3 linked regions of the Oryctolagus cuniculus genome follow. The protein of the gene in region 3 interacts with the protein of the main gene of each other region in a pairwise test. Links are inferred from orthologs where the notes say so. Each region holds a gene or a part of one and is shown on either strand. Other genes may lie near its edges. The genes, in order: POP5, TRIM54 and CCDC102B.

Region 1 (6,873 bases), on a different chromosome or scaffold from region 3:
GACCTGGAAGAAGCTCCTGGCTTTGGATCAGCGCAGCTCCGGCTGTTGTGGCCAATTGGGGAGTGAACCATTGGATGGAAGACCTCTCTCTTTCTCTGCCTCTCCTTCTCTGTAACTGTGACTTTCAAGTAAAATGAATAAACCTTAAAAAACCCAACTTTGTGACTGAGGGACCTTTGAATGACATCATTTTATTATGGAGAAAACAGCCAAGAAATGTCATGAGGTAGCAGGACAGAGCTGGTTAAAAGTCCTTTGGTCTGATGCCTGTGAGTGTGGCAGTTACCTGTCTTCAGGTGTAAGGAAATAAGAATGGGTGGAACTACAGAAAATTCCCAGCCTGGCAGTGAAGTCAGGTGAGGCCAGCCTATGCCACAAAAGTGCAAAAGCTGCAATTTTTTTTTTTTTTTTTTTTTTTTTCAGAGTCAGCTGCTTAGGTGCTAGCAAGGAATTTGATATTTCTAAGGTATTTGGATCATTACTGAGACTATGGATCTGTACAAGCTGGTTGCTATGTCTCTTCACATTTCTATTCCAAATGAGCTCTTTTATCTAGGGCTACACGTGGAAAGCTAAATATTCAAAATTCATCTGGTGTTGGGGTGTGCCATTTCAAGTCCCAGCTGTTCCACTTCAGTTCTGGCTCCCTACTAATGTGTTCCCTGCACTAGTGTGCAGTGGGGGATACCCCAAGTACTCGGGCCCCTGTCACCCATGCAGAAGACTGGGATGCAGCTCCTGGCTTCTGGTTTTGGCCTGGCTCGCTCTGGCTGTTGAAGCCATTTGGGGAGTCAGTGGATGGGAGATCTTTCTTTGCCTTTCATATCTTTTAAAAATATTTTAATGTAGTGTCACATAGGAGCAGTCTTCCCACCAAAGCCAGGGTAAATGCAAGAGGAGACTTGGCCAAGCATGAAGTGTATAAGCCCTTTTGTTATTATGCTCAATGCTATAGAAACCAAATTAGACAAGTAATTAGATACAAGACTATCCACAAGTGTAGAGCCTTTACAACCCGCAGAACCACTTAACCAGAAACACTCTGTAAAAGCAACTCCAGGGTTTCAGGTGAGTGTGGCCTCCAGTTCACGCTGGAAAATCGAGCCCTGGCTGGCTGCCACCCAGTCTGAGCAGTTCACGACGCCATTGCTTCAGCAGCTTCCTCACCTCCGCTGTCGGAAGCCCCTTCCTCTTCAGATGACTCCTCTAGTAAACAGCTCTTCGCCACTGACTTCTGGATAGCTTCCCGCTCTCCTGGAAAGAGGCAGAGCAGAATAAATGTCTTCGAGCAATCTCTCTGCACGAGGGCAGCCCGCTGGTCACTGCTCAGTGGGCACTGGGCTACTGTTGCTTACCTTCATCAGTGCAGTTCTGTAACAAGATCAACAGCTGTCGCCTGTTGTACTGAATCAGGAACTTCTGACATGTTCTGATTGTACCTGGCACATGAAAGACATGGAGTCAACAGCTTGTGAATGTCTGCTTTACAGACAGAGCTAGGAGGAATTCTCTCTCAGCACGCGAGCAGTCAAGGTAAATGCTGAGTCTGTCACTTAAGATTCAGCAAATGCACTACATGCATGCCTACCTCCCACGTGTAACGTGTTGAAAAAACAAGGGTAACGGTGTCCTTTGCTCTCCAAATACGTGATGAAGGGAAGCGCTGACCACACCAGCCGGTAGAATTCCTTTCGGCATCGAAGCAGCACTATTCCGGTATAAGCATTGAGGTATCGAACTACAGCAGGGGAGAGATCATTTTGGAAAACTTCGGATTCACAGGTGGTTAGAAGCCTTAGGGTAACGGAGCCTGCTTTGTGCCAGGGACTGTTCTAGACAAATGGCACTTGGGATGCATCACTGAGGAAAAACAGACTCCTAAAGAAAAACTTCAGACGAGACCTTCATTTATGGAATGAGGATAACCACCAAGGCCTTGCACATCACTTAGAATTGGTAAATGAATCGAGAATCTAAAATGCTGTTCTATTCAGTGACTTTACTGGGAGGAGGGGGAGATGATGTTTCAGCATGAAAAAAAACCCTTGTCGGGGCCAACCTTGCAGTGTGGCAGGTGAAGCCTGGGACACCAGCATCCCGTATGGACACTGGTTCAAGACCTGGCTGCTTCACCTCCAATCCAGCTCCCTGTTAATGCACCTGGGAAAGCAGAGGAAGATGGCCCAAGTGCTTGGGCCCCTGCACCCATGTCGAAGAAGCTCTAGTTTCATTGCTGCCATTTGGGGAGTGAACCAAGGGATGGAAGAGGTCTCCCTCTCTGACTTTCAAATAAATACATTTTTAAAAACAAAAGCCCTCGTCTGGGGGCCGGCACTGTGGCTCACTTGGTTAATCCTCTGCCTGTGGCGCCAGCATCCCATATGGGTGCCAGTTCTAGTCCCGGTTGCCCCTCTTCCAGGCCAGCTCTCTGCTGTGGCCCGGGAGTCCAGTGGAGGATGGCCCAAGTCCTTGGGCCCTGCACCCGCATGGGAGACCAGGAGGAAGCACCTGGCTCCTGGCTTCGGATGGGTGCAGCGCCGGCCGTGGCAGCCATTTGGGGGTGAACCAACGGAAGGAAGACCTTGCTCTGTCTCTCTCACTTGTCTATAACTCTGTCAAATATATATATTTATAATATATATTATATATAATACACACATATATAATATGTATATATAAAAAAAAGCCCTCGTCTAATAAACGGGCTGTTTTACTGCCGTTGGGCTCTGCAGGCTCCTGTGGCCGCCAGCGGGTCTCACCTGATGGCAAGAGGTCACCTCCGTGCACTTGATTCTCCAGGACCCTATGAGTTCACGGTAAAAGGAACTAAATGCTGGAGTAGTCCGGAGGGCGAACAGCCTTTTTTGGTGCCTGTCTATCCTGCACGGAACTTGTACCCAATCGTGGGCTGTACGTTACTATTAAGGGCTTTTCTGAGGTAATTACGACCTGCTTTTTCCCATGTGATGTCAATGTAATCGGTCAAATAATGGCTCTGCCTAGGAACTATATACGACTTTACTCATTTAACTATGTTAAGTTCACTAACAAGCCCCAATATGCAGACGCCACACAGGGTTTTGCCCGAAGTCCCACTGCCTGCGGGCCCCTGCTTTAGCTCTGCCTAATTTCGGACTCGTGTGGACCTCCCACGACCGAAGGGTGCGCCCGGGCTTGGCCTCTCCAGGGCTCGCTCGTGCCACTTCTTCCTCCCTCCTCCAGCGCCTGCTCCTTCCAAATCCCGCCGTCCGTCCGGGTTGCCCCCGCGCCCTCGCACCTGCGAAACCGATGGAGCAGGCGGCCGCGCCGAAGGTCCCGTGCACCCGGGCGATCGTGTCCCGAATCAGGCCGACCAGTACTCGGTCCTCCAGAGTCAGGCGGCAGCGGGGGTCGTCGGACACCAGTTCGCAGAGCAGGTACCTGCCGCAGGCCACATGGGGGTGAGCGCGCGAGCCGGGGCCGGGGAGACCGGGGGTGGCTCTGAGGGTGCGCAAGGAGCCGCTTACCTGTGCTTGAACCGCACCATGGCTGCCGCGGGGCCCGCCTTCCCGAAGGGCTCACCGGATGTCGGTGTCCTGCGGCCAATGGGAAGTTTGCCTTCGCCACCTTGCAGCCACTCCGAGAGGGAGCCAGGAGAGGAGGGCGGTGCTAGAAAATTGAGAGGCCAAGCTCCGTGTCAGTCTCCCTCAAGCTCCGCCTCCGACGGCCTTTGTAAGAGCGCATGCGTCCTTTTGCCGTCCCGGGAGGTTGTGGTTTGGGGGCTGGACTCGGGGCTGCGATGGGCGGTCCCTCGCGGTTCACAGTGTAGGAGGCGGCCGGCGTCGGGGGCGCCCGGCGCCTGAGGGCGCGGTCACACACGCATTTATACTCCAGGCTGAAGCACAGGGACTGACACACAGCAAATCGGACACTTCAGGTTAGAGCGCGGTTTAATTCTTCCACTCAAATATGCTGTTACTCTTTGGGCCTTTCAACAGTTTTGTGGAGATGGGTGCTTTGTCACCTTTTTTTGTTTGTTTGCAAAAACTGTTGTCATTGTATTTTCCGCTGTAACCGCAGGACTGAGAGAGCCGCTTATCACGTAGTTTCTTCCGTGGTTTCCCCCTGTGCCCGCAGTTCTCCCACGGAATTCCCACTCATTCAGGGAGACTCGGGATTATTAATTATAATAATATTAATAAGTGTAGTAAGATGTCAGTTTGCCTTCTTCACCCTCTCAGAGTAGACCGTAGAGTTTTCCAGAAGCCACATGGTATCTGGCATCGCCGCTCTGAGGGCTGATGAAATCGTCTATTGTGTTTTAAACAGTTTTTAGTTTTAATCTCTGAGGTAGACATTGATAGTTATCAGCGCAAAAACAGACGCGCTTCGGAATCCTCAGTAATTTAAGAGTGTAAAGAGGTCGTGAGGCAGAGAGCGGCTTTTGAGAATTGTGCCCATGTGAAGTGGTGTTTTTCCTTTTATTTTCTTTGTAAGCATCGTGGGTCATACTGTCAAGCACTTTTTCCTTTTCACTTGAATATTTTTAAATTTCTCTCTTGTTGGCGCCGGCTGTGGTGCAGTGGGTTAAAGCCCTGGGCTGAAGCACTGGCATCCCATATTGGTGCTGGTTCATGTCCTGGCTGCTCCACTTCCGATCCAGCTCTCTGCTATGGCCTGGGAAAGCAGTGGAAGATGACCCAAGTGCTTGGGCCCCTGCACCCACATGGGAGACCTGGAAGAAGCTCCTGGCTTCGGATCGGCGGAGCTCCAGCTGTTGTGGTCATCTGAGGAGTGAACCATTGGATGGAAGACCTCTATCTGTCTCTACCTCTCTCTGTAACTCTGTCTTTCAAATAAATAAAATAAATCTTTAAATAAAAATCTATTCCTCGCTGAGGATGGAGCAAGGCTGAGAAATTGTTTTCCCCATGAATCTTAAAAAAAAAAAAAAAATTGGAAGTATAGCACCTCTCAGCGAATTCCTAGAGACTCGTGTACCTGTCACCCACATTCCGGTGGAGAAAGCATTTCCAGAACCTGAGACGTTTCCCCGAGTCCCAGTCAGAACTCTTACCAGAAACAGCCACTGTTCCGACTTCCACCAGGACCAGTTAGTTTTGCCTGTGGGTGAACTTCCAATAAATCTACAGCATGTTTTCTTTTGTGTCTGATTTCTTTAACTCAGTAATTAAAAGATTCTTTTTTTTTTTTTTTTTTTTTTTTTGACAAGCAGAGTAAGATAGTGAGAGAGACAGAAAAGTCTTCTTTCCGTTGGTTCACTCCCCAAGTGGCTACTCCGGCCGGCGCGCTGCGCTGATCCGAAGCCAGGAGCCAGGTGCTTCCTCCTGGTCTCCCATGGGGTGCAGGGCCCAAGGACTAGGGCCATCCTCCACTGCACTCCCTGGCCACAGCAGAGAGCTGGCCTGGAAGAGGGGCAACCGGGACAGAATTCGGCGCCCCGACCGGGACTAGAACCTGGTGTGCTGGTGCCGCAGGCGGAGGAATAGCCTTTTTTTGTAAAATTAATTAATTTATTTGGAAGGCAGAGCTTGAGAGAGAGAGAGAGGTCTTCATCTGCTGGTTCACTCCCCAAATGGCTGCAATGGCTGGAGCCAGGCTTGTCTGAAGCCAGGAGCCAGGAGCTGCTTCCTGATCTCCCAAGTCGGTGCAGGGGTCCAAGCACTTGGACCGTCTTCCACTGCTTTCCCAGGGGCATTAGCAGGGAGCTGGAAGGGAAGTGGAGCAGCTGGGACTCGAACCGGCGCCCACAAGGGATGCCGGCCTCACAGTGTTGGATCTGGTGCTGTACCCACGAGGGCACAACGCCGGCCATCAGTATCCTGTTGATGGCTGTATAAATTACTTCCAGGTTTTCTCGTAGACTCAATGCTTTGATGCATGCCTTGGAGCTAGGTCACTGATGCCCATGCCCTTGGCTGGCCCTGCGAGGTCCATGAGGGGAAGCACCTTTCACAGCCGACTATTTGCCAGGTCTAGAAGGAGTTCTTAGCCTTCCCATCTCCCACTCTTGTCACCTTAAAGGAGGGAAGCTGAGGGAGGGAGGGAGGAGGCGTGCCCCGCGCCTCACCCGGAAACATCGTCTTGCGGCCCGCAGAGGGCGTCGGAGGCCCGCAGTGCGTGGACCCCGCAGGACCAGCCTCAAAGCACTCCTGAAGTTTTCAGCCTGTCAATCCTAGCGACGCGCGCATTTTGTAGACACAGTTGGGATTCAGACCACGGTCACGAGTGGGCGTCAAGGAGCAGGTTCGGGACTCGAACCCACAGCCATCCGACTCGAGCGCTGGCTGATGTCGTCTGCACGGTAGGACCGCCGCGGGTTCGAATCCCTACCAGGAGTCCTCAGGGAGGTTGAGCCGCTCCTCCAGGCCTCAGTTTCCTCGTCTGTGCAATAGGATAATAAAGGTTCCTCCGACTGGAAATGACCAGGAAATGGGAGTTAAGCACCTGGCCCAGGGAGCGCGCGGTAAGCACTCTGTTCCGAACGAACGATTGACTCCTCGGGCTCACGCACAGCCCCGGAGGAAACACTGCGGCCCTGGCAGCCAGCTCCCGCGGTAATTAGCCCGCGCCGGCGCGGGCTCAGGCTCCGCCAGCCGCTAATTACACGTCTCCTAATGAGGCCGGCGGCTGCTGGCAATCACCGGGGTCCCCGCCGCGCGCCGCGCGGGAGGCCGCGGGGGAATCCGCCCGCGGAGGCGTGGAGGGGCGGCTGCGTGCTCCGTGCCGCCCCCGGAACGCCAATGCCACGGGGCTGAGATTATCCCGCCTCAGTGCCGGCGCGGCCTGGGCCTCGGGAGGTGAATGGAGCGGAGTCCGGTGGGCTCCAGGCCGATGCCGGCTGTGTGTGACCCGTGAGCAGGTGCCCTTCGC
Region 2 (6,773 bases), on a different chromosome or scaffold from region 3:
TGGGGGCTGGCGCTGCCGCGTAGTGGGTCAAGCCTCCGCTTCCAGTGCCAGCATCCGACACAGTTCAAGTCCCGGCTGCCCCACTTCCGATCCAGCTCCCTGCTAATGCGCCTGGGAAAGCAACAGTGGATGGCCCAAGTGCTTGGGCTCCTGCACCTACTTGGGAGACCCGGATGAAGTTCCTGGCTCCTGGCTTTGGCCTGGCCCACCCCAGGCCATTGCAGCCGTTTGGGGAATGAACCAGCAGATGGAAGATTTTCTTTCTTTCTTTCTTTCTTTCTTTCTTTCTTTCTTTCTTTCTTTCTTTCTTTCTTTCTCTCTCTCTCTCTCTCTCTCTCTCTCTCTCTTTCTCTCTCTCTCTCTCTCTCTCTCTCTCTCTCTCTCCTCTCTCCTCTCTCCTCTCTATCTCTGTATCTCTGCCTTTCAAATAAATAAATCTTAAAAACACACACACACAGAGATGGTACCAAGGAGAAACAGCTTTATCCACACATCCAGGATAGATGCTTTTTTAAAAAAAAAGATTTATTTATTTATTTGAAAGTCAGAGTTACACAGAGAGAGGAGAGGCAGAGAGAGCGCGAGGTCTTCCATCCGCTGATTCACTCCCCAATTGGCTGCAACGGCCAGAGCTGCGCCGATCTGAAGCCAGGATCCAGGAGCTCCTTCCAGGTCTCCCACGCGGGTGCAGGGGCCCAGGGACTTGGCCCATCTTCTACTGCTCTCCCAGGCCACAGCAGAGAGCTGGATTGGAAGTGGAGCAGCCAGGACTCGAACCAGAGCCCATATGGGATGCTGGCCCTGCAGGCCCAGACTATAACCCACTGCGCCACAGCGCCGGCCCCTGGATGCTTTTCTGAAGTGAAAGGTTGGGGACAGCAGTCCCACAAACTGTGACAGGAGAGGGATTCATTCGCACCTCTCCTTCCTGACTTTGGCCATAGCTGCAGACCCATACCTGGAGAATGATTTAACATTTGCATTTTTTAAGCAATGTCTTCTCTATCCTTACCCTAAGCAATAACATCCAGGAAAAAAATCCCCAGTCTTACAGGCGTTTTTCCCTAACCTGCATCAGAATAAACTCATACAGACCCTCGATGTCCCTGCTGCCACCCGCCACAGTCTTCCTATCGCTCACAGCAGGTGGCTCCATGCTTTGGGAAGCACAGTGAAGGGCTCCAGGCGACGTGAGTCTCGCACCACGCACCGGGCAGCCCTGGAAAGTCCCAGAGATCAGCTTTACTATTTTGTTGCCAGGCAAATGTAGTCCTGGGAGCAAAGTGCACGTGTGTGTGTGTGCACGTGCGTGCGTGTGTGTGTGTGCCAGAGACTGGCAAAAAAGTAGGGCTGGGAGTCGGGCGGAGGCAACTGAAGCTGTCTCAGAAGGGGCAGCCAGGCCGGGCCCAGGGGGGCCGCGGGACCAGGGGCCGGAAGGCCACATGGGAGACGCTGGCCCGTGGTGCCGCGCTGAGCCAGGCCGCAGAGAAGGCCAGGGTGCAGGCCCTCCTGCCCCGTGCCCGCACTCACCTGTGTGCGCTCGGCTTCCTGCTTCCTCTCCCGCAGAGAAAGGCTCTTGCAGCACAGGCCTTGGGGTGGGCTGCCCGCGGAATGAGGGCGTCTCGGCCTCCCGGCTTCCAGGATTAGCCGCTGCGAGGAGCGAGGAGCGTTTAGGAAACTTCTTTAGTGTGGGGGGTGCTGGGGAGAGGCACGTGCTGCCTCGGCTGTGGGTCCTGGCAGCGGGGAATGAGCGGCAGCCCCAGGGGCTGAGGATCCCCCACTCCTGGTTCCCTCTGTTCCCTCTGTGAAAGTTGCGGTAAAAAGCACAGAACGTGAAATTGAACTGTTTTCAAAGTCTTACTATTTTATTGTTATCTATTTGAAAGGCAGTGAGAGGCCGGCACCGCAGCTCACTAGGCTAATCCTCCGCCTGCGGCGCCGGCACACCGGGTTCTAGTCCCGGTCGGGGCGCCGGATTCTGTCCAGGTTGCCCCTCTTCCAGGCCAGCTCTCTGCTGTGGCCCGGGAGTGCAGTGGAGGATGGCCCAAGTGCTTGGGCCCTGCACCCCTTGGGAGACCAGGAGAAGCACCTGGCTCCTGGCTTCAGATCAGCGCGGTGCGCCGGCAGCGGCGGCCATTGGAGGGTGAACCAATGGTAAAGGAAGACCTTTCTCTCTGTCTCTCTCTCTCACTGTCCACTCTGCCTGTCCAAAAAAAAAAAAAAAGAAAAAAAAGGCAGTGAGGGTGTGCCAGCGCTGTGGCGCAGCGGGTTAATGCCCTGGCCTGAAGCGCCGGCATCCCATATGGGCGCTGGTTTGAAACCTGGCTGCTCCACTTCCGATCCAGCTATCTACTATGGCCTGGGAAAGCAGTGGAAGATGGCCCAAGTCCTTGGGCCCCAGAAGAAACTCCTGGTTCCTGGCTTTGGATTGGCGCAGCTCCGGCCGTTGTGACCAATTAGGGAGTGAACCAGTGGATGGAAGACCTCTCTCTCTCTGCCTCTCCTCTCTCTGTGTAGCTCTGACTTTCAAATAAATAAATCAATCTTAAAAAAATAAGAGGAAGAAAGACAGAGAGAGAGACAGAGCTCTTCCATCCGCTGGTTGACTGCTCAGGTACCAGGATTTGTTTCCGTCACAGACGAGCAGGCCGTTCTGGTGGGAAGGAGCCCTTTGGCGCTCTGTGGGACACCTGGCCTTGACACCTGGGTTGCCTTTTCTTTATCTTTGCTTCAGTAACGTCCATCTAGAGTTGCATCACCGATTTTTAGGCTGTAGCCTTTTCCCTCTGTGAAGGGTGTTGATGCTCAGTCATCCCAGGGCAAGCATTTGGCACAGTGGTTAAGTCGCCACCTGGGACGTCCACATATGGGCAGGTGCCTGACCCCACTTCCGATCCCACTCCATGCTGGAGTGCACTCTGAGAGGCAGCAGAGCACGGCTCGAGTGCGAGGGTCTCTGTCATCCACGTGGGGGACCTTCATGGAGTTCTGGGCTCCTGGCTCTGGCCTGGCCCACTCCTGGCTGTTGGGGGCATTCGCGGCGTGAGCCCGTAGATGGGCGCTCTCTCTCCATCTGTGTTTCTCTCACTCTGTGTTTAACATGAAATGCAGTTTGTTTTCATTTGAAAACCTTTGCCTCTGCCTAAGACTCAGAGACACGTGTTAGCGCTGGACATCACCTTCAGTTAGCCCAAGCTGTATTGTATCTGACCGTGTAGTGTAATGACCGCTAGGGCAGGGGATGCCACTGCGGCGTAGTGGGTAAAGCCGCCGCCTGCAGTGCTGGCATCACAAATGGACGACAGTTTGAATCCCAGCTGCTCCACTTCCGATCCAGCTCTCAGCTACGGTCTGGCTCCGAGCCCCTTTCCTACCCCAGCTTTTCCTGTAGAGGCCAACATCTCCCCATCGCTCCAAACTGGACCCCTCGGTAGAGACCCCATCGTGGCTGGGCCCTGACAAGAGCTAGGCTATGGAGTTGAACACTTACAGAGCCAGGCTGGGTGACGAGGCGGGGCCCAGGAACTCCATGGCCACCCGCCTGCCGGAGCTGCCCCGCCCTGCCTCATTCTCCTCCTCCTCCTGCGCCCTCACCACCTTCACCCCTGCTTCCCTCAGTCCTCGCACACCTCGCCGTGCCCGCCTTCTCACAACACCCATCCCTACAGGCCTCCAACCCTCTGTGGCAATCCCGGGGCTCCAGCACCGTGTCTTCAGGAGGCCGCTTCCGCTGCCCATCTTGCAGGCACGAGGTTGTCCTGGACAGACACGGGGTCTATGGCCTGCAGAGGAACCTGCTCGTGGAAAACATCATCGACATCTACAAGCAGGAGTCCTCGCGGTGAGCCGTCAGGGCCGCGTGTGCCGCCTGGGGCACGGCCTGGGGGCTCCGTGGGGGGGGGGGGGCTGTGGAATCAGGCGATCTGCTCCTTCGGTTTGGGGATGCAAGGATGGGCCCAGAGGAGGCAGGGGCTTGCCCCCGGCCACCCAGAGAGGCCAGGCCTCCCTGCCCCACCCAGGCCCAGGTTTCCCCTCTCCCCTCTCATATCTGCTGTCCCGTGGGGCTCCCAGGGCCCCCGAAATGCAGTCTCTTTTCGGATCCACGCCTCCTCCACCTCTTAAGTCCTTCTGTTCTCCAAATTAAGAGCCCCATGGAAGTCACTCACCCACCCAGCAGCACCCACGGCAGGGGCAGGGAAGGTGCTGGTGATTGGTGGAGCTGAAGAGAAGGTGTTGAGGGGCCCCACACGCACGGGCGCTCCTCAGGGGCTGGCACCTGGCCCTCCCTGCCACCCAACCTGCTTGGGTGCTCCCTGGGGCCTGGCCCCTGACCCCGCCACCTCGCCCCTGTGCGCTCCTCTCCAGGCCACTGCACTCCAAGGCCGAGCAGCACCTCATGTGCGAAGAGCATGAGGACGAGAAGATCAACATCTACTGCCTGAGCTGCGAGGTGCCCACCTGCTCCCTCTGCAAGGTCTTCGGGGCCCACAAGGACTGCGAGGTGGCCCCGCTGCCCACCATTTACAAACGCCAAAAGGTATCCAGCAGGGAGGGAGTAGAGGGTTGGGGACCAGGACTGGGTCGGCCTCTTATTCCGCTTGGTTTTATTTATTTTAGTTTCATTGCCAAAGCCAAGAAACAAACATGGATCACCCATCTTCTGGTTCACTCTCCAAATGCCTGCAATGGCCAGGGTTGGGCCAGGCTGAAGTCAGGAGCCCAGAATTCAATTGAGATCTCTCACGTGGGTGGCGGGGACCCAAATACTTGGTTTGTCACCTGCTGCCTCCCAGGAATGCACCAGCAGGAAGCTGGAATTGGAAGCAGAGATGGAAATGGAACCCAGGCACTCCAATATGGGATGTGGGCATCCCATGCGGCATCTTTGCTGTGCCAAAAATCTGCCCCATCGCTTGGTTTTAAGTCAAGATCAGGATCAACATTGTGGTGCAGCAGGTTAAGCCACTACCTACAATGTCAGCATCCCATATGGGCACCAATTTGAGTCCTGGCTGCTCCACTTCGGATCCAGCTCCCTGATAATGTGCCTGGAAAAGCAGCTGAATACAGCCCAAGTGCTTGGGCCCCTGCACCCACATGAGAGACCCGGATGAAGCTTCTGGCTCCGGGCTTTGGCCTGGCTCAGTTCCAGCTGTTGCAGCGATTTGGGGAGTGAACCAGCAAATGGAAGATTTCTCTCTTCCCCCCTCCCACCCCGTAACTCTGCCTTTCAAATAAATAAGTCTTTTAAAAAAGCATAAAGAGATATCCTCCATCCACTGATTCACTCCCCAGATGGCTACAACAGACCCTACTGGGCCAGGCTAAAGCCAGGAGCCTCCGACATGGAGGAAGGGGCCCAAGCACCTGGGCCATCTTTTTTTCTTTCTTTCTTTCTTTCTTTCTTTCTTTATTTTTTTAAAGATTTATTTATAAGTCAGCTACACAGAGAGAGAAGGAGAGGCAGAGAGAGAGAAAGGTCTTCCATCCACTGCTTCACTCCCCCAGCAGGCTGCAATAGCTGGAGTTGCTTGATCTGAAGCCAGGAGCTTCTTCCAGATCTTCCCACCAGGGTGCAGGGGCCCAAGGACTTGGGCCATCTTCTATTGCTTTCCCAGGCCACAGCAGAGAGCTGGATTGGAAGTGGAGCAGCCGGGACTTGAACCAGCACCTATGTGGGGTGCCAGCGTCACAGGTGGCAGCTTTACCTGCCATGCCACAACACTGGCTTCTGATCATGCATTTTTGACAAAGAATCAAATAAAGCTTTTAGAAATAGAAACATGGGGCCAATACTGTGGCGTAGTGGGCTGAACCTCCACCTGCAGCACCAGCATCTCATATGGGCACTGGTTGGACTCCCGGCTGCTCCTCTTCTGATCCAGCTCTCTGCTGTGGCCTGGGAAAGCAGTGGAAGATGGCCCAGGTCCTTGGGCCCCTGCACCCACATGGGAGACCTGGGAAAATGCTCCAGATTCCTGGCTGCAGATCAGCTCAGCTGCAGCTGTTGCAGCCACCTGGGGAGTGACCAGCAGATGGAAGACCTCTCTCTCTGTCTCTCCCTCTCTTTGTCTGTAACTCTACCTCTCAAGTAAATACATAAAAAATATTTTTTAAAAAAGAAATATATGGCCGGCGCCGCGGCTCACTAGGCTAATCCTCCGCCTTGCGGCGCCGGCACACCGGGTTCTAGTCCCGGTCGGGGCGCCGGATTCTGTCCCGGTTGCCCCTCTTCCAGGCCAGCTCTCTGCTGTGGCCCGGGAGTGCAGTGGAGGATGGCCCAAGTGCTTGGGTCCTGCACCCCATGGGAGACCAGGAAAAGCACCTGGCTCCTGGCTCCTGCCATCGGATCAGCGCGGTGCGCCGGCCGCAGCGCGCCGGCCGCGGCGGCCATTGGAGGGTGAACCAACGGCAAGGGAGGACCTTTCTCTCTGTCTCTCTCTCTCACTGTCCACTCTGCCTGTCAAAAAAAAAAAAAAAAAGAAATATAAACTTAATTGTTGGAATAGAACATTCAGGGAGTTAATTAAACGACAGATTTCTCTGAAGAGGTAATTAGTGAATAGAACAAGAGGACTGAGAACAGGATGCAGCCCTGGGGGATGAGAGGTTGAGAATGAGAATGTCTAACGGGGGGGGGGGGCGCGGTGTCGTGGCTCCAGCTCCTGTGGCACCAGCTCCCATATGGGTGCTGGGTTCTAGTCCTGGTTGCTCCTCTTCCAGTCCAGCTCTCTGCTGTGGCCCGGAAGGGCAGTGGAGGATGGCCCAAGTGC
Region 3 (6,773 bases):
TCCTGCTACTTTACTGAAGTCTTTTATGAATTACAATAGCTTCTAAGTGTAGTCTTTTGGTTTTCTTACATATAGAATCATGTTATCTGCAAATAGGGATAGTTTGACTTCCTTCTCCCCAATTAGTATCCCTTTAATTTCTTTTTCTTGCCTAATGGCTCTGGCTAAAACTTCCGGGATTATATTGAATAGCAAATGTGAGAATGTGCATCCTTGTCTGGTTTTGGATGTTAATGTGCTGGCTGTGGGTTAGATTTTTATTTTTTTTTTATCACTGTGGAGTATGAATTAGACATTTGATGCTTCTTAAAGAAAATGAAAATCCAAGAAAATTTCATCTAAAATATTTTTCCTAACGGTTAAGGGAAAGCAATAACTATAAAAAATTAAAAATCCCTTTTGGACCCTTTTATTCTGCCTTAATAGTGTATCTTCTGACCAAAATGCTTTTCTTTCTGTTCCATTTCATCCTTCTGATAATGTTTGAACATCATGGGGATAGGCTTACGCTAACAAGTAACTACAAATATTCTGAATCACAATGTACTGTTTCTTTCCACAACTTTAGCTAAATTTTGTGATTATCCATTTGATTTGTTGTTTATAGCTACTAGCAATATCCTAGGATGGCAGAGTGATGTCCCTTTTGCTTACTATCACAGTATGCACAATGGTAGAAACTCTTCTTGGATGAAGGTCTTTGAGTTATACAGGACAGTCAGATGCTAATCAGGATGAGAATTCAGGGGGAGGCATGCTCCTGCTGGATGGACAGATTGCACAAGGGAGAATGTGGCAGAAAAGTAGATGGACACACCCAGGCTGGGGTAAGGCTTGGGCAGGGGAATTGGAATGACAGAGGGGAGTCTGGCAGAATGAATGGGCTCTAGACCTTGCCGTGGTTAAGTTGTGGTGAGGAGTTTGAATGAACACAAGGGTAGTGCCAGATCAACCAACTAATTGTTGTGAGATCAAATATTTAGCATAAAAGTATCCAAAATGGGAATAGAAGGCAATGTATACCATATTGTAGTGCCTAGGTTCAATTCTTACCTCTGTTTCCTAGTTCCAGCTTCTTTGTAATGTATACCCTGGGAAGCAGCAGGTGATGACTCAAGTAATTAGGTCCCTGACACCCACATAAGAGACCTAGATTGAGTTCCTGGCGGCAGCCTGAGGCACAGCCTTGGCGACTGTGGGGCATTTGAAAATATCAGCTGATGGAAGCTCTCTGTCTCTCTCTTGAAAAAATATCATATCTCCAAAATGGAACCAGTCAAACATATTTCTGAAATAATCTGAAAGCTTATCTCACAATCGTAAAAACTAGTATTGTTTTAAAGTTCTAGATTTTTGATATGGGGATGCAGTGGCTATGGATTCAAATTTCCTTAGTTCTCAAATCAACCATATATGCCCAAGGTGGATACATGAGTGCCCTATAGCCTGGTTTCCTCATCACTTGCACGACAGATATGATAATAGTAGTGAATATTCCACTGGCATGTGTTAACTGGCTTGTGTTTTATTGAGGGGCTGGCAGTGTGGCTTAGTGGGTTAAGCTGCTGCTTGCAGTGCCAGCATCCCATATGGGCACCGGTTTGAGTCCTGGCTGCTCCACTTTCGATCCATCGCTCTGCTATAGCCTGGGAAAGCAGTAGATGTCCTATGTCCTTGGGCCCCTGCACCTGCGTGGGAGACCTGGAAGTCACTCCTGGCTTCAGATCAGCACAGCTTCATCCATTGTGGCCATCTGGGGAGTGAACCAAAGGAAGGAAGACCTTTCTGCCTCTGCCTCTCTGTAACTCTGCCTTTCAAATAAAATAAATCTTAAAAAAAATTTTATTGAAATTGATAATTTTCTTTATTACCTGAAATTTTGAGTACTTTTATAAGTCTTATTTTTCTTTACATTTTTCTTACTTTTAAGTACCCTGTTTCTCTTTCAAAAGGCAGAAAAGAAACCGAAAATTACAAAATAGTAATATATTCTGAGATGATGCATTCATGACTCCTGGCACTAAGGAAAACTTTTGCCTTACCTGTGAGAGCCTGGACTAACCAATTAGTAGGCACTTTTCCATTCTCTAGTCAGAAATGTCTCCTTACAAATAAGGATATTATAATTTGTCTGTGACTATCTAAAATCAGAATATAAACCTAAGGCTCACCATCTTAGGCATCAGATTCCTGTCAGGGAAGAGACATTTAGTTATGTCATTTATCTATTCTTGATTCATTACATTTTATTTGTTTGGCTATCTACTATATTAAAAAAATTTGCCATCATAGCAGCCTGATTGCTATTAATATTTTTATAATGTAAAAAGCAGTGCAAAAACCAGAGTCAAGAGTATTAATATATTTTTGTAGACATCAAAGGCTTTGTGCTACAACCACTGGAAAATGCATTTATAGTCACCTGAAATAAAATTCAAAGAGTACACACAGATGTATAGGAAAGTGAGTAGTTTAATAAACACATATGCATCTTAAATATCCCCATCTCAAGAAAATTGTGCTTGCTTGAGGAAACTCTTTAGAACAGGAAATACTATTGAAGTTCAAGGACTGAATAATTAAACCCAAATCATTTTTATTTAGTCAGATGTGGAAAAAATACATAGTTAATTCTTAGGCAAGATCTCAATGTACCAGAATCCAATTATAGAGTCTTCTGAATACTGGTGGAATAAAAGTTAATGAGACATTTTAAATACATTACAATTTTATGATACTGATTTATTTTTGGAAAGTAGCAAGGATAAATTTAAATTTAATATGCTGTATTAAGTTCTCTGTATTCATTTTGGAATTCCAACAGTAAAAAATCATTACATACTGAATAGTGAACAGACTGACAGATGGATGGATAGATAGTATGTGTGTTTGTTATTTCTAGTTAAGATCACCTTTTATTCTTTTATATATCAGTCTTGCCTTAGTAATAAAACAAAGTTGGTAATTTATATTATCATTGTCCTCCAAATTACAGTAAATGGAAGAACAAAATTACTCATGTACCAAGGCTAACGAATATAATCACATCACGAGTCTGTTATTATAAGTGTTACAATAGTGAATTGATTTTACATCTCAAATTTGTTTAAAATGTTTTTTCAAAATAAAAATTTAATATTAACTTTCTGAAGTCTTTTAATTATGTGCTCATGAATCATAGTTTTAAAAACATTGTATAGTCTTTTATTCCAATAAATCAGGCTTATTATTATATACGTAGTTGATACAGTAGAACCATTCAGTTAGTTGTATAAGTAGATAGGTCCTAAGGAGGAAGTTATGATCTGTAATTACAAAAAAGAAAATAAAGTGAGAGGAATTTATGGCATGTGCATAAAATATTATCTAAGCTTTTTTTTAGATTAGAAAACTGTTTCTGGAAATAAAAATGAGTAAACCACAGGAATTTACTAATTTGTAAATTAACCCGTGTCTTTTAAGGAGTTACTTTAAAAGTTATGCTTGTTATGGTCTCAATATAGTTGTAGTGCTCTATTGAATAAAATAACAGGCATGCAAATTGATAATGATATGCATTCATATATTTGTGCTTTGGTATTTATAATGAAAGCTGATTTTAATTTCTCTACAAGGCTTTGAAAAAGCTAAGACTGCTCAGTGTTATCTCTATGGTGAAGGTGCCGCGTTTCTAGATGGCCCATTTCACCTTTAGCAGTACTCCTTAGATCACCCCAACATACCCTAAGATACCCTAAGAATCTGAGAATGACTTTAAATACATAAAGAGATTCAGTAAATATACCTTTTATAGTGTAAACTATGGATTTTTAAACTTGTGTATGCTTTATCTACTAAAGTTTTTGAGGACAAGGATCATGCCTCATTTATAACAACTTATTTTTGCAGTTCATAAGATTTTAACCATGTAGGAAATTAATTTGAGAATCAGATGTGGCTTTGACTATAAGTAACGGAAAACCTAACCATTGTGGCTCTAATAAATATGGATAACCCCTTTCACATGCTTCCACATGGCATAGACACCACGCGAGAGCTAGCTTGTTATGACTGCTTTCATCTTGATGTTCCAACTTAAGATTTATTTATAAGATAAATAAATTAGAATCAGCGTTAGAGAGAGCGAGTCTCCAATCACTGGTTCACTTCCCAAATGGCCACAATGGCCTGAGCTGGGCAGAGCCAAGGCCAGGAGCCAGGAGCTTCTTCAGGGTCTCCCACATGGGTGCAGGAGCCCAAGCACTTGGGCCATCTTTTGCTGCTTTTCCAGTGTGCATTAGCAAGGAGCTGGATCCGAAGCCAGGACTTGAGCCGGCACCCCTAGGGGAGGCTGGCACTGCAGGCAGGGGCTTACATGATACACTGCAGTGCTGGCCCCTTTTCTACCATTTTAAATATTATTAAATAGTTATGACAATCACCTTCTCCCAGAGCCATGTCCTTGTTTAGGCAGGAAAAAGAAATTGAGGAAAGAGGGTTTTTCATTCTAATGTTCTCCCAAGTAAACCTTGCCTTTCTTTAGCCTGATCCAGATCATGCATTTGTTTTGAGATTATCATATAGTTGTTGACATGGAGTCCATCAAGCAAAGTGTAGATTATTCATGATTTAGCCTCTGGGAATGGGATTCTCCTAGATGCCCTTAGAGTTTGCATTCTACCTGAACAAATCTGAGATTAGTTGCAGAGGAAAATGGGACTGTTGTACAGTTAACTGGTAATAAATGCTATAATTTTGTTTTGTAAGAAGAAATGTTACAAAAGATATAACTCGAATAGAATTTGATATTTTCTCAATTGCATCTTTATATAGTTATTTGTTCAGCAAAATTTAATATGAGAGATTGATTTTTTTTGTTAATTTGCTATTAGAGGAATAGATTCTTCTAAATCTTTAGTTACAACAGAAAAAAAAATATGCACAATTGAAAGATGCATTGTTTACATCAGATTTTTTTTTATTTTAATGTATTTCAATGCTCTTACAATTGTAAGGAAAATTCAAACGTGTAATTTTGTCCTCTGTTTTATCCTAGGCCTTAAACATAAACATGAATTTAGAGTCTATTCATCGACTAATTGAGGAAACACAAATCTTTCGGATGCAGCAGTCATCGATTCAATCCCGCTGTGACCCGTCAGCCCCTGCCTCGCCCCCCAGGGACACGTGGACGCCCTGCCCGCCTCTCCAGGGGCTGCAGCCTCAGGCCCCCCACCGTTTCTGCGCGCATCCACTGCACCCCAACGAGTGGGACGTGTGCGCGGAACTGCGCCTGCGGGAGCTGGAGGAAGTCAAGGCCAGGGCTGCCCAGATGGAGAAGACCATGCGCTGGTGGTCAGACTGCACGGCCACCTGGAGAGAGAAATGGAGCAAGGTTCGCGCGGAGCGGAACAGCGCCAGGGAGGAAGGACGGCAGCTCAGAATGAGACTGGAGCTGACGGTGAAGGAGCTGAGCGAGCTGCGGAAGAGACAGGGCGCGGCCCCTCAGAAGCAGCCCCCGGCCGCCCCCGCTCCCCTCGCTCCTCTGGCGTCCCGGGAACACGGAGATGAACCTGAAGTCGCTTCCCAAACGTGTGAGCGTGTGGGGGAGCGCCTGCTGAGAGGACAGCGCCGGACCCGGGAGACCGTGGGCAGTCGGGTGAGAAGGTCCTCCTGGGCCCGGCGCCGGTGGCGTGGTGGGTTAATCCTCCCCTGAAGCGCCGGATTCCCGTGTGAATGCCGGTTCGAGTCCCGGCGGCCCCTCTTCCCATCCAGCTCTCTGCTGTGGCCTGGGATAGCAGTAGATGATGGCCCAAGTCCTTGATCCAGCTCTCTGCAATGGCCTGGGATAGCAGTAGATGATGGCCCAAGTCCTTGATCCAGCTCTCTGCTGTTACCTGGGATAGCAGTAGATGATGGCCCAAGTCCTTGATCGAGCTCTCTGCTATGGCCTGGGATAGCAGTAGATGATGGCCCAAGTCCTTGATCCAGCTCTCTGCTGTGGCCTGGGATAGCAGTAGATGATGGCCCAAGTCCTTGATCCAGCTCTCTGCTGTTACCTGGGATAGCAGTAGATGATGGCCCAAGTCCTTGATCGAGCTCTCTGCAATGGCCTGGGATAGCAGTAGATGATGCCCCAAGTCCTTGATCCAGCTCTCTGCTGTGGCCTGGGATAGCAGTAGATGATGGCCCAAGTCCTTGATCCAGCTCTCTGCAATGGCCTGGGAAAGCAGTGGAGGATGGTCCAAGTCCTTGATCCAGCTCTCTGCAATGGCCTGGGATAGCAGTAGATGATGGCCCAAGTCCTTGGGCCCCTGCACCCGCGTGGGAGACCCGGAAGAAGCACCTGGCTCCTGGCTTCCCATCGGCACAGGTCCCAACATTGCGGCCATTTGGGGGTGAACTAGCGTACAGAAGACCTCTCTCTCCCTCTCACTGCCTGTAACTCTGCCTCTCAAATAAATACAATCTTTAAAAAAAAAAGTTGCTCTGAGGAACCAGGGGATACCTGCATTTTTGAAGGCCTTCCATAGTGATGAGAAAGGGGAGGTGACGAGGCATTGGTTACCGTGTTCGCTTGCTAGGGCAGTTGTGAGGAATGATTTTTTTTTCTTCGTAACTATTTGTTGACCTCTTAGTGTAGGGTTAATCTTATGAGCATAAAGTTAACTGAAAATAGATCTTAGTAAAAAGAGTGAGAATAGAAGAGGGAGAAGGAAGAAAAGTGGAAGTGTGGGAGAGAGGAAGAGTGGTGGAAGGAAGGGTAGGGTGGAATAATCCCTAAATTCCTAAAT

What was found.
Region 1: the proteins of CCDC102B (region 3) and POP5 interact in binary tests that used the Homo sapiens proteins (3 or more experiments, as listed by UniProt). The two-hybrid records come from large-scale screens. The link is inferred for Oryctolagus cuniculus from reciprocal best matches to the Homo sapiens genes CCDC102B and POP5.
Region 2: the proteins of CCDC102B (region 3) and TRIM54 interact in binary tests that used the Homo sapiens proteins (3 or more experiments, as listed by UniProt). The two-hybrid records come from large-scale screens. The link is inferred for Oryctolagus cuniculus from reciprocal best matches to the Homo sapiens genes CCDC102B and TRIM54.

What each region holds. Positions count from the first base shown.
Region 1 is NC_091452.1:16,599,251-16,606,123, forward strand, and holds POP5 (ribonuclease P/MRP protein subunit POP5), read right to left. Parts: upstream 3,655-6,873; 5' UTR 3,527-3,654; coding exon 3,507-3,526; intron 3,421-3,506; coding exon 3,278-3,420; intron 1,739-3,277; coding exon 1,589-1,738; intron 1,440-1,588; coding exon 1,356-1,439; intron 1,255-1,355; coding exon 1,136-1,254; 3' UTR 914-1,135; downstream 1-913. UniProt on the Homo sapiens protein: Component of ribonuclease P, a protein complex that generates mature tRNA molecules by cleaving their 5'-ends. Also a component of the MRP ribonuclease complex, which cleaves pre-rRNA sequences.
Region 2 is NC_091433.1:175,679,573-175,686,345, reverse strand, and holds part of TRIM54 (tripartite motif-containing protein 54), read left to right. Parts: intron 1-3,668; coding exon 3,669-3,841; intron 3,842-4,365; coding exon 4,366-4,537; intron 4,538-6,773. UniProt on the Homo sapiens protein: May bind and stabilize microtubules during myotubes formation.
Region 3 is NC_091441.1:9,986,444-9,993,216, reverse strand, and holds part of CCDC102B (coiled-coil domain-containing protein 102B), read left to right. Parts: intron 1-5,035; coding exon 5,036-5,638; intron 5,639-6,773. UniProt on the Homo sapiens protein: During interphase, forms fibers at the proximal ends of centrioles to maintain centrosome cohesion. During mitosis, dissociates from the centrosome following phosphorylation to allow centrosome separation. Contributes to CROCC/rootletin filament formation.